Linked DNA regions of Drosophila melanogaster. Changing the gene in region 2 together with the main gene of any one other region gives a genetic interaction. Each region holds a gene or a part of one and is shown on either strand. Other genes may lie near its edges. The genes, in order: mew and Tsp.

Region 1 (5,147 bases), on a different chromosome or scaffold from region 2:
TAGATGAGAAATGGACTTTTGGGTTGGGTTCCCATATTTTTCTTATTATTTTATTTATTTTTTTTTTGTGTTGCTGGGCCTGGGTTAACTATTCAACTATTTGGCGGGAGACACACGCACCAGCAGCGAGTAAAAGAGCAACAACAATAACCATAAACTGTCGACCAGCCCCCAGTGGATAGCCCACCCCATTGAGCACCCAACCACCCAACCAACCAACCACCACCATTCCCCCCAACCTTTCCTTTCTTGCGACTGTTTGGCGTCTGTTGACCTCATTTCGCCGAAAAGTTTTTTAAGTTCTTTCTTAGTTTTTGTTCTCTTCTATATTTTTTGGCGCAAACAAGGAACACATGTTGTCGGCATAAACACAACCAGTGAGCTGTTCGCGATGCAGAAGAAGTATCCCACATGAGATACAACATCTACGAGATACACCGAATCTCAGAGATTTATTTACATGCAAGCGAGTTAAAATCGTGCTAGCATTTTCATACCATTTTCAATCTGCAATATATTGAGTATTCAGCGCAATGAAATTGTAGTTCATTAACAAAGCCAATCATTATTTAATGCCGATTGATTGAAGGTGCTAATTAAAAAAAGTCGCCTACATATATACACATTTTTTATGGCGCTGTAAATGCCACGGCAAGGGTACGAAAACAATTGTATAGCTTAATCGACCATCCTCAGCGGCTTATCTCAATTTGTACCATATCATCAAAGGTAATAATTGCGCCACGTAACCGCTGGTATATATGGCTGGTACAAAAAAAAAATTAAGATGGGCCAGCGATAAGCGAGTCACATTATTTGCATACGTACCTTTTTTTTCATTAATAAAACAAATATGCGACAATCGCAAAGTGCAAACAAAACTGAAAAACAAAAGGCGCGCAATAAACGAGCTGGAAATTCAAGTTAACTGTGCAATTCACTGCAGTTATCGGACTAGCCTTCGATGCGAAAAAAAACAGCAATTTCCGTTTGGATTACAGCTTCTTCCGATTTCAAGTGCGTCATTTAAAGACGCGATGCAGATTTAAGAAACAGCGTGGGTCACCACTTCTTGCCAAACGGGGTCACCACCATATAATATCACCATTACATTGAAGTTAAAGCTCAAAGTTTATCATGCATCTCATTTGCAAATTTATTTTTATTATTTTTTTTTTTTTGAAGGTCTATTGATTTTCAGTTGGACTTTCAATACGTGACATTTCGTTACTTAACCCAAATGACTCAGGCTGGTACACTTAGACTCGTCGGCCGATAAATGATATATATAAACATATATATGATAAGTATAATAATAATATCCCTTTCCCTTATTCGGGTGACCGAAGGAGAGGGCACTACTTGGCAAGAGAGAGAGAAGGGGAACATGACTTTTTCACGCCTACGTAGGCATTACGCACCGAGTGATAGCGATGGGGCATGCCGCGAATGGCACAATTTCTTTTTTTTTACCACAATACATGGTTAAGAAACCACACCATGTGGCGGGAATAACTCGATTGCCAGTTCAGTTGTATTAAATGTATTAAAATGTTAGCAACTCAGTTTTTTTCGCTGCAAATTGGCGCATCCAAGTCGCAGCTTGTATTGATTCCAGATTTGTTGTCTGCCCATTTTTATGGCCACTGGCCGTCTGGCTCCGTTTTGTCTACCGAGTTTGGTTTGGCCAATGTATCTATCTATCTATCTATCTATGTATTGCTTGTATTGTATATAGAGAATGCGAAAAGGAGTTGGCCAACTTATAAAGTCGCCAATACGAGACATTTAATGAGCACCAAGCCCTCGCCAAAAAGAATCTATGACAAATGCAAATAAATCCACATCCGCTTCAGTCGCAATAGTTCAAGGGTTTAACCCATGTCGGGGGAAACATTAAAACAATTCGTCTGTTCTTCGACCAACTATGCTTATCAGTTGCACAAAAATAAACAATCAAAACCATAAAATATCAAACAGGCAAATTCTCAGATAGTAAGGATGACAAATCGTTTAAACTGTTGAAATTCTTCAAATAGCAATTCGAAAAAAAAAAAAGAGAAACAAACAAATATAATATTTAACACTTATCTGCTGTCATTGCATTTGGCATATGCATTCAGTTTATTATGGTTTGTTTCGATTCGAAAAACATCTAAAACCTGGCATCATCTCTGGAAATACTCGATATTCAAACAATTTATGGTAATTCAACAATAAAAACACGATTTCAAACAAGTTTCGCGCATTAGCAAACTTTGATAGCCCCCCCCCCCCCCCTGAACAACAGCAACAAACACAGCGATTGCAATGCAAATTCTTCTTATTATTATTATTATTTTATTATTTGTTGTTGTTGTTGTTATTGTTCGTGTGCTGCTGATTAATAACAATCAATGCCAGTCAATTAAGCTGAAATCGATTTGGCGAATATAAAAACCTGTTTGCGCACCAACAAGATTCTTGGCGCGAATTTCCGATTCGGACACGAATTTGGATTTGGATTCTTCTCTACCTGTTCTTCAGCATTATTGTTTACCTAACATTTTTCTAAAGAAAAAAAACACAGCTGAGACAACAAGACACTTTTCGAATAAATCTTTTGGATGCAAGTTTAAAATTGATTGTTGAAAAATAAAAATATGCCTAAGCGTTTAAATGAACTGCAGATAATGATTCACTTTGGAAGTTCGCATACTTTGGACGCATCTTTCAGATACTTATCTATCCACTTAACTATCCACTTACCAGTTGGTCTTGTTGGGCCCATTGGCCTCGCCAATAGTGTGGGTGGCCACCGAGTAGCCGAAATGCGAATGCGGATGTCCGTACTTCACAATGGGCAATCGCTGTTCTAGGTTGAAATTGTAGCAAGTGAGAACGCATTGCAGGATTATCAGAATACCAAGATTCTGTCTTAGCCGGCAGTTGGGCCGTATGGTGGTAAACGGTAGCTCCAACATCGTTAATTTTATGTTTTTTTTTTTTAATATATATTTTATAAATATTTCGTGCACGTGCACCGAACACGGCAAAGTGATTACTTTTTCCTTTGCACTATTGCAAACAAAACAATGAACCGAAAAAAAACACGCACGCACACACACACACACACACTAAATCCGTTGAGATCTTTGGATCAACAGGTAGTCCACGTATTTTTCACTTTTGCTCGTATATTTCTTCGTTTCAGTCACACAGCAAAAAAAAAAATGATTATTACGTAAAGAATTAGACATTGATAGCGTGCGTTCGAAGCGGCAGATATTTTCTCTTCGCTTCGCCTTCTTCGACGGGCAAACGAAAAATAAAATGCTTCGCACAGAAGAGCTACACTAAGCTACTGAGCTACCATCGAACATGGTTCGAACATGGTTCGAACATACATGTGCGCTGTGCAAGCAGTGGTCAAACATATAGCAAGCAGACGCACAAGCAGTTCCACTACACTAGAGGGCTGGATAACATCATTCTCTTTGTTTGCAATTCGGGCAGCGCGGAGGTAAGTCAAAGTTTGTGTTTTGTTGTTGATATGTTATTTATTAATCTCGACATGCGTTGCACTCGATTAATTTAAAGTTAATATAGAAGTCATACGACATCAGAATCACTATGACAGTAGAACGTCTCAGTCCAGGTAGATGCTATCCAAAGAAATGTATATATATCCAAAAGCAAGGTAAAATATCACAGCAGCATCTTTAGTGACCATATTGATATACAAACAAATTCGACCAAATTCTAATTTGCTGACCTTAGCCGAAACGCCAAGTGCGCATATGGTTGATAACTTGATAACTTTTCGAAATGCGCATGCGGGCATCTATTGCAGGAGGATATGGGAGTGAAATGTCCCGAGCTAAACGGCGCTCCAACTGCTCATTGCGGCCGTTGAGCAAATTCTGCCATATCTGGGCCCGCTTATCCAACTGTTGAGCCTGCACGGCTATCCGTCCATAGGAAACGGGCTCATACGCCAGCTTCAGTTGATCGAGCAGATTGGTGAGCTCTTCAATGGCCTGCTGCAGTTTTCTCATGGCACTGTCATGCATGATGAACGTCTCATCGGCTTTGCTGCCGTATTGACATATATATTTCATCCTGACCCAATTGGACGACGCGATACAATTCTTGCGGCGCAATATTTGCATCTTTAGCATGTCCATAAGTATTTCGGCCAGATCGATGGGTGGCAACTCGGCGGGTATCACCAAGCGGATGGCAAAATAATTGGGCCTACTGTACTTGTCCAGGAAGGTGCTAATCACGCCGTCTTGGGCATTACGCACCGAGCGATAGGGCGGCTTAATGCCGCGAACTGCGCCCAGCAAGCAGTGGTCGATCTTATTGCATCGAACTTTTGACATCGAACCGCGGTTTGTCGTGTAAAAAGCGTGTTAGAAATGTGTTTTATTATACAAGTAAGCTGCAATGGCCGTGTTTGTTATCTAGAAACTTTCTCGGAATGGTAACATACGTGTGTACAGAAAGTTAGCGATTGGCATCGTCACTCACCGTCGTAGTACTGGTAAATTGATTTTGCTTCGTCGAACAGCCCGGCAGAAAAATTTTAAAAAATTATAAAATTTTGCTGTGTAAAAGTAAGAACGAGAACAAAATTTTGTTGTGCTCCCAAAAAAGTAAAAGTACTTAATTATCCGAATCAGGTAGCTACACTTAACTCAATGACTACTGGACGCTTAAATACGTAAACTTTCGTCTCTAAATTTCCTCGCACACTAGATTTGAATTTTCGTTCAGTCGGATATTATCGATAAATCGATTATTGTGGACCACGAATTTTCTGGTATAAATGCGGTAGCAATTTAAGACTTCTCTTACCGGAAAATCTTAAAAAATTAAATGATTACATTTTTTGTTAGTAAAAGCCCGGCGAGAATTTATTAATATTTATACATATACAACTTTTATATTAAAGAGCTCTCGAGCACTCTACCAATTTAAAAAATCAACCGCTTGCTTTATAAATTTAATTATTATTATTAAAAAAAAAAATCATGCAAATACGAGTCGTTAGTTATTAAACTTGGCAAAAGAAACGTATATTTAAAAACCAAATCCCATATGGATGTACTAACAAGTTCGCCAGCCCTGGATTCCTAGGCGCATGTGCTGAATAAAATTTT
Region 2 (5,270 bases):
TATAGAAAACATGCTGAGTTTTGTTTGCGAAGAGCCCGCAATGCCGGTTTATTTTTTTGTTGTTAACTTGGCGTTAATCACTAGTTTTATGGCTTAAGCCCTCCACGTTAATTATACACTCACCGACGGGCCCTTAAATATTTATTCAATATTTTTGAATTGATATGCGAGCAAACCAGTTTTACTTCCCCGATAAGCTGGTGAATTGACCTTTAACTACTTTTAATTATATTGTATTGGCCCAAAAAAAAAGGGGCTGAGTTGGAAATTAAGTGATAAGCACTTGCTTTTAGTTTGTAGGGTGAATGGAGAGCTATGGTAACACCTTTAGGTAAATATTTGCACTTAGATATGCATATTTATCAACTGCCATTAAACACTCTCCTTTGAATCATTAAGCCGGAAGCTTGACCAACTTCACTCCAATCAAACCATGTCTTGCCAACTCCCACACTATTTCCAGGTGCAAGGCATCTGGCCTGGTCGGCATCAGTGGCCAAAGCCACGTAACCCAATTAACCGGCGAAGTCGTAAAATGACAATATTTCCTAGAGCAATTGAAGGCTGATGATAATCCCAAACCCCCCTAAGAGTGTTAGAAAGTAGCTCACTTTCGTTACACTGCACAACAAAGTCACGTTCGCTGAGGAAAAAAAAACACTCCAGAAAGCGCTGCACACGAAGAGCAGGAAGAATGCGTGTAATCGAATCTTGAAGACCGAAAAATAAACATGTTAATAATACAATTTTATGATTAATACGCACTGAACTGCAGTGCGAGGTGGTGGGGTAAAGGTGGGGCATTTCGGAGGAGATCAGACTTGATGTTGCTGTTGCGGCGTCGAAAAGTGCGTGGGACGTCTTAGCTCGTAACCACTGAAGATGCTGGGAACAACTCGAGGAGGATTCGGACGAGGAGTGTGTGGAATGGGGCGTGGGGCCAGCGAGGCTTATTTATAAATCACGCACATAATGAAATTTCAGCAAGTGGTCGCCGCTGTCCGAAAAGCGGCAAAATATGCAGCGTTGATGTGGGATAGCATCTCGGGTGTGTCCGCAGCACCGCAACTCCGTGATAAATGCACATCTGCATAATGCCCTCCTCCAACTGTCCGCTGACATGCCGGCGACATAATGACGAACAGGTCGGGCCATTCATTCAACTTCCCTTTCCCTTGGATCCCGATGCTACTGTCGTGTTACGCATCAGTCCCGTGTCAACGGCAAATAGGAGTGGAGGGAGTTCCGAAATGGGGGACACTTGTACTGCATAAGTAGCCATTAATAGGTGCCATATGCATATCATTTTGGGCTCTGGTTTTAACGAGTAGTTCGTCTGTTTTGAATGCCTGCAGAGCGTGCCGTTTATTTACGATCTCCATTTCAAAAGAGCAAAAGTCTGGCCCCATCCACCGAGTTCCTTTGGATTTGGAGGTGGTGGTCGAAAACAAGGATGGACGCATTATCGGAAAAGGGTTCGCACGAATCCGATTTAATGGCCTTAAACGGGCCTACAATGTAAGCATGTTTCGGGATTGAGTTTCAGTTTAATGGCCCAAACGATCTACAATTGGGGCAGCCCAAGTGGGCGACTCCACCATAATAATTGGTGGATAAACTAATGAACTGAAGACAATAAGTAATTACCCATAAATATAATCACAGAGAGCGACTTTTAACCAAAATATTTATTCTTACAAATTACACAGCAGTTTTAAACAATATATTACATAATTGCAACTTAAAGCGCACAAACGAAAACTGCGCTGATCGTTACAGAATATTTAAAATAACATTTTCTATATAGAAAATAAATTTTAAATTTCCTATATTTTAAAGAAGATTACCCATTATAAAATTTTATTTTTTACTAAGGAAGCGGAAGATATGAGATCTGAAAGTTGACTACCACTTTTTCCACTCACTTCCTCAATTATTCAGCAGCGATCTGGCCACACTGTCGATGTTTACGCAAATTTTGCACGTGGGCGTCGCGGCTTACTCACGCGTCAAATCAAAAGAAACACAAACGAAGACAAAATGCCGCGTTTCTCCCAAGAGCAACAACAACAGCTGAGAACAAAACAGAAACGCAGAAAGGCAACAACAAGTTGTCGCTGCTCCAAGTTGCTCCAGCCAACAGCGCTGCCGCTGCCTCAGTCGACGCTGCGCGTCGATCATTCCCTTTGCATTTTCAAATTTTCAGTTTCAGTTCGCGTTGGAACGTTGAACAAGACGGTGCGTGTCCTAGGTGCTTCGATAAGTGATCAGTGATTAGTTTTGGCGATAAATCAGTAGCATCAATCGATCGAACTATCGCGAGAATGTTTCAGTTTTCAAACGCTTCCTAAGTGTGCTTTTGAAATCAGCCCGCGCTGTACAAAGTTTTTTGCCCATATTTTTAAATCCGATCGATCCTCAAGCAGCATCCTCTGCATCCAAGGTGTCCAAGATCGCGTCGCGTTCGCCTTAATAGCATAAAAGTGTTTTAATTTTTATTGGCACGAACGGGCGAGTCAGTTGCGGAGCAGTTGTCGTTGCTGGAGGATTGTAGGCATTGGCGTCGCGTGTTCTCCACCGCGATTCCATAAAATCGACTCCACGAAATCTTCGCGTGTGTCCCCATTCCAAAATCCAGCTTTTCTACCTGGCGCGTATTTCGAAAAGGGTTTAAATGGTCTAATGCATCCGTTTCGTTATCGATTCTTTTAGTGTGAAGATACCCTTGCGACGTGTTTGATCTTTCGCTCTGCAAAAGTACAACATAATAAAAGTGTCTGTGCGGGCGTCCAGGAAAAAGCGGCGGAAAAGTGTGGCAATACTCGTAAAAATAACTCAGGTCGTTTCCATTCTAAATTGCGCGTTGACAGCCGCAAGTGGCGCAAACGAGCCGCACAAACAACAAGGAGCTGTCAGTTCCGTCCCGCCAAGTGGATCACTTGGATCACATCCACATCCGCAGTGGGGGCACCTCTAGAGCAAGAGCAGCGTCCTTGACCACGAGGTGAGTGTGAAGGTGGGCCAGACCTCCGGGCTTCTACATATGCTGCTTATTCGTGTGGCCAAAATCTGGGCTACACTCCGCTCACTCGGAAAATGAGTGCGCCAAGTGGCCAGGTGCGAAGTGCATTCCATATTCAAGTGCCTGGAAGGTACTAGAGCATATTAAGTTGTTCTTAAAGAAGTTGCGTTAATAATGATGCATCATCTCATTTTTAACATATTCTCAGGATCGTAAAGATAAACGAAAGATATACGGAAGTAATCACGACTTGGGTCTATGTTTATTAATATCATTCATTTAGAAAGTTATTAATAGCTAAATGCTAATTTCTTGTTTTCAATCTTAACAGACTGTAGACTAAAGAATCGCATCTTCTAGCTGCACACCCACAGCAGTTTAACTCCTTTTCATTCGACTTTATTGCATGATAATCACCAAGTTGTTGATAGGCCAATCTATGAATATTTTTTATGAGCGCCTCACAAGATTTCTATTCATTTCACCGCCATTTTATATCTGATGATAAATCAAGCTAATTGTTGTTGTAATTCAAATACTATCGATACATATTAATTAGCCACACCCAAGTCAACCGCAATCTGGCGGCAAAATCGGCCTGTGGCATCCTCACCATTCGAGCGACATTAATCTATGGGGGATCTGGGGAGATCTTATCTGCATTGGCGCCATAAATACCGCAGTCGAGTCATAATTTATTAATTACCGGACTTTCCACACGTATTTAAAGCAGATCAGATTGAGGTTTATGCCTTTGCGAGAACTATAATTATGTGGATCATATAAGGTCAGAGCACAGAATATTTTCCCCTCCAACAAATATGAATTGTGATTCGAAACGGCAGCCACAGATTGCTAATGATGTTGACCAAATGAAGCTGGTCACATTCCCCAACAACGGTTAAAATACTTAATTTTATTTGGCTCGATTTCCCAATCACTTTGCAGCTTCTACTGGGCTCTGCTACTCAATTCCAAGCGATTCAATTAAAAGACGCCCACTGCAAAGATCCCCATAACAATTTATAACTGCCTGTTCGAGAGACATTTCAGACTTGCGGTTATTTTATTATTTGAATATATTATTTAGCGGCAGTGGCGTTGTGACCCGAAGGGGTATTAATCTTGAAGATGTAGTAACCAATAGTTGGGAGATACTTTTAGCTAGGCCTATGACTTCGTTGTATCGATGTATCTATACAATAGATAGATACTTTCCCTTCAATAGAGCGGACAAATAAGATCGATCTGTTCAGTTTTGCAATGAGATGTGACAGAAATTCACTGAATAATTATTCAAATATGGAGCTTGGTGTTTTCTTATTCTCTGTCCAAACATTGACACCCCTTGGCGCTCCACACAGAGATGACTCTTCAGACATGGTAATATCTTGCTGGCCATATTTGGAGCTCGAGTTTGACATTATTAAAACATAAATAATATTGCCATTGTTAGTTATGGAATTTCCGCTTGGCAGCGAGTTATGAGTTCATAAACAAATGCAAATTAAGTGGAAAATTGTTGCACCAGCAAATTAGCGCATCGTCAGTGGAAAGTCATTTGGACACCAATATCCGAACCTTCTGCGGCAAATCAGGCTAACAAATTTTAATGCTTTGTATTGACTTCAGTCGGAATTTGCAATTCAAATGGAGCAAAGTCACAATAGCAGCTAAGGCTATTTGTGTTGGCCGTTTGGACTGCGGGCTTCAAAACCAATTCAAGTCGAATGGAGACGCGACTTTGCCTTAATGGTTCATCAACATAAGTTAATGGGTTTTCGGTTTTGGCCTAATGACAGATTAAACACATTCTCAAGCGATTTGACAAGATTGCCAACGAAAATTGCGCCGAAATGTATACTTTTATCCGGGCAAGAATAGTAGCATCTATCACGCATATTATTTTCCTTAGATATTTTGCGAAGATATGCAAATTATTTAAAGACGACCACTGATAGCAAGGTGCGGTCCAACAAACACCTGGTAAAAATAAACATTTAATTATATAGCCGCTGTATAAATTTAATTGATGGCAATATAATACGATTTGAGACAGTTTCTAGCTGCTGGCTATGCTTACATCAAAAAGTAGTCATCATGCATGTTTAGCTCAACGCAAGATTAAAGATTCAAGATTACAGAGATTATAATAATACCATTCTTACGGGTCTTTAAATTGTGATTTATGCGTTTTTACACCTACAATTTCAATCATTTTTATGTACTCTGCTGTTGCGATTGAGCA

Evidence for each region.
Region 1: of Tsp (region 2) and mew, changing one enhances a phenotype caused by changing the other (phenotypic enhancement), as found in Drosophila melanogaster (one study listed by BioGRID).

The regions. Positions count from the first base shown.
Region 1 is NC_004354.4:13,253,869-13,259,015, forward strand, and holds the start of mew (multiple edematous wings), read right to left. Parts: upstream 3,316-5,147; 5' UTR 2,964-3,315; coding exon 2,749-2,963; intron 1-2,748. Other genes in the region: CG15742 (uncharacterized protein), read right to left, coding at 3,756-4,367. UniProt on the Drosophila melanogaster protein: Integrin alpha-PS1/beta-PS is a receptor for laminin.
Region 2 is NT_033779.5:6,706,021-6,711,290, reverse strand, and holds the start of Tsp (thrombospondin), read left to right. Parts: upstream 1-2,204; 5' UTR 2,205-3,004; intron 3,005-5,270.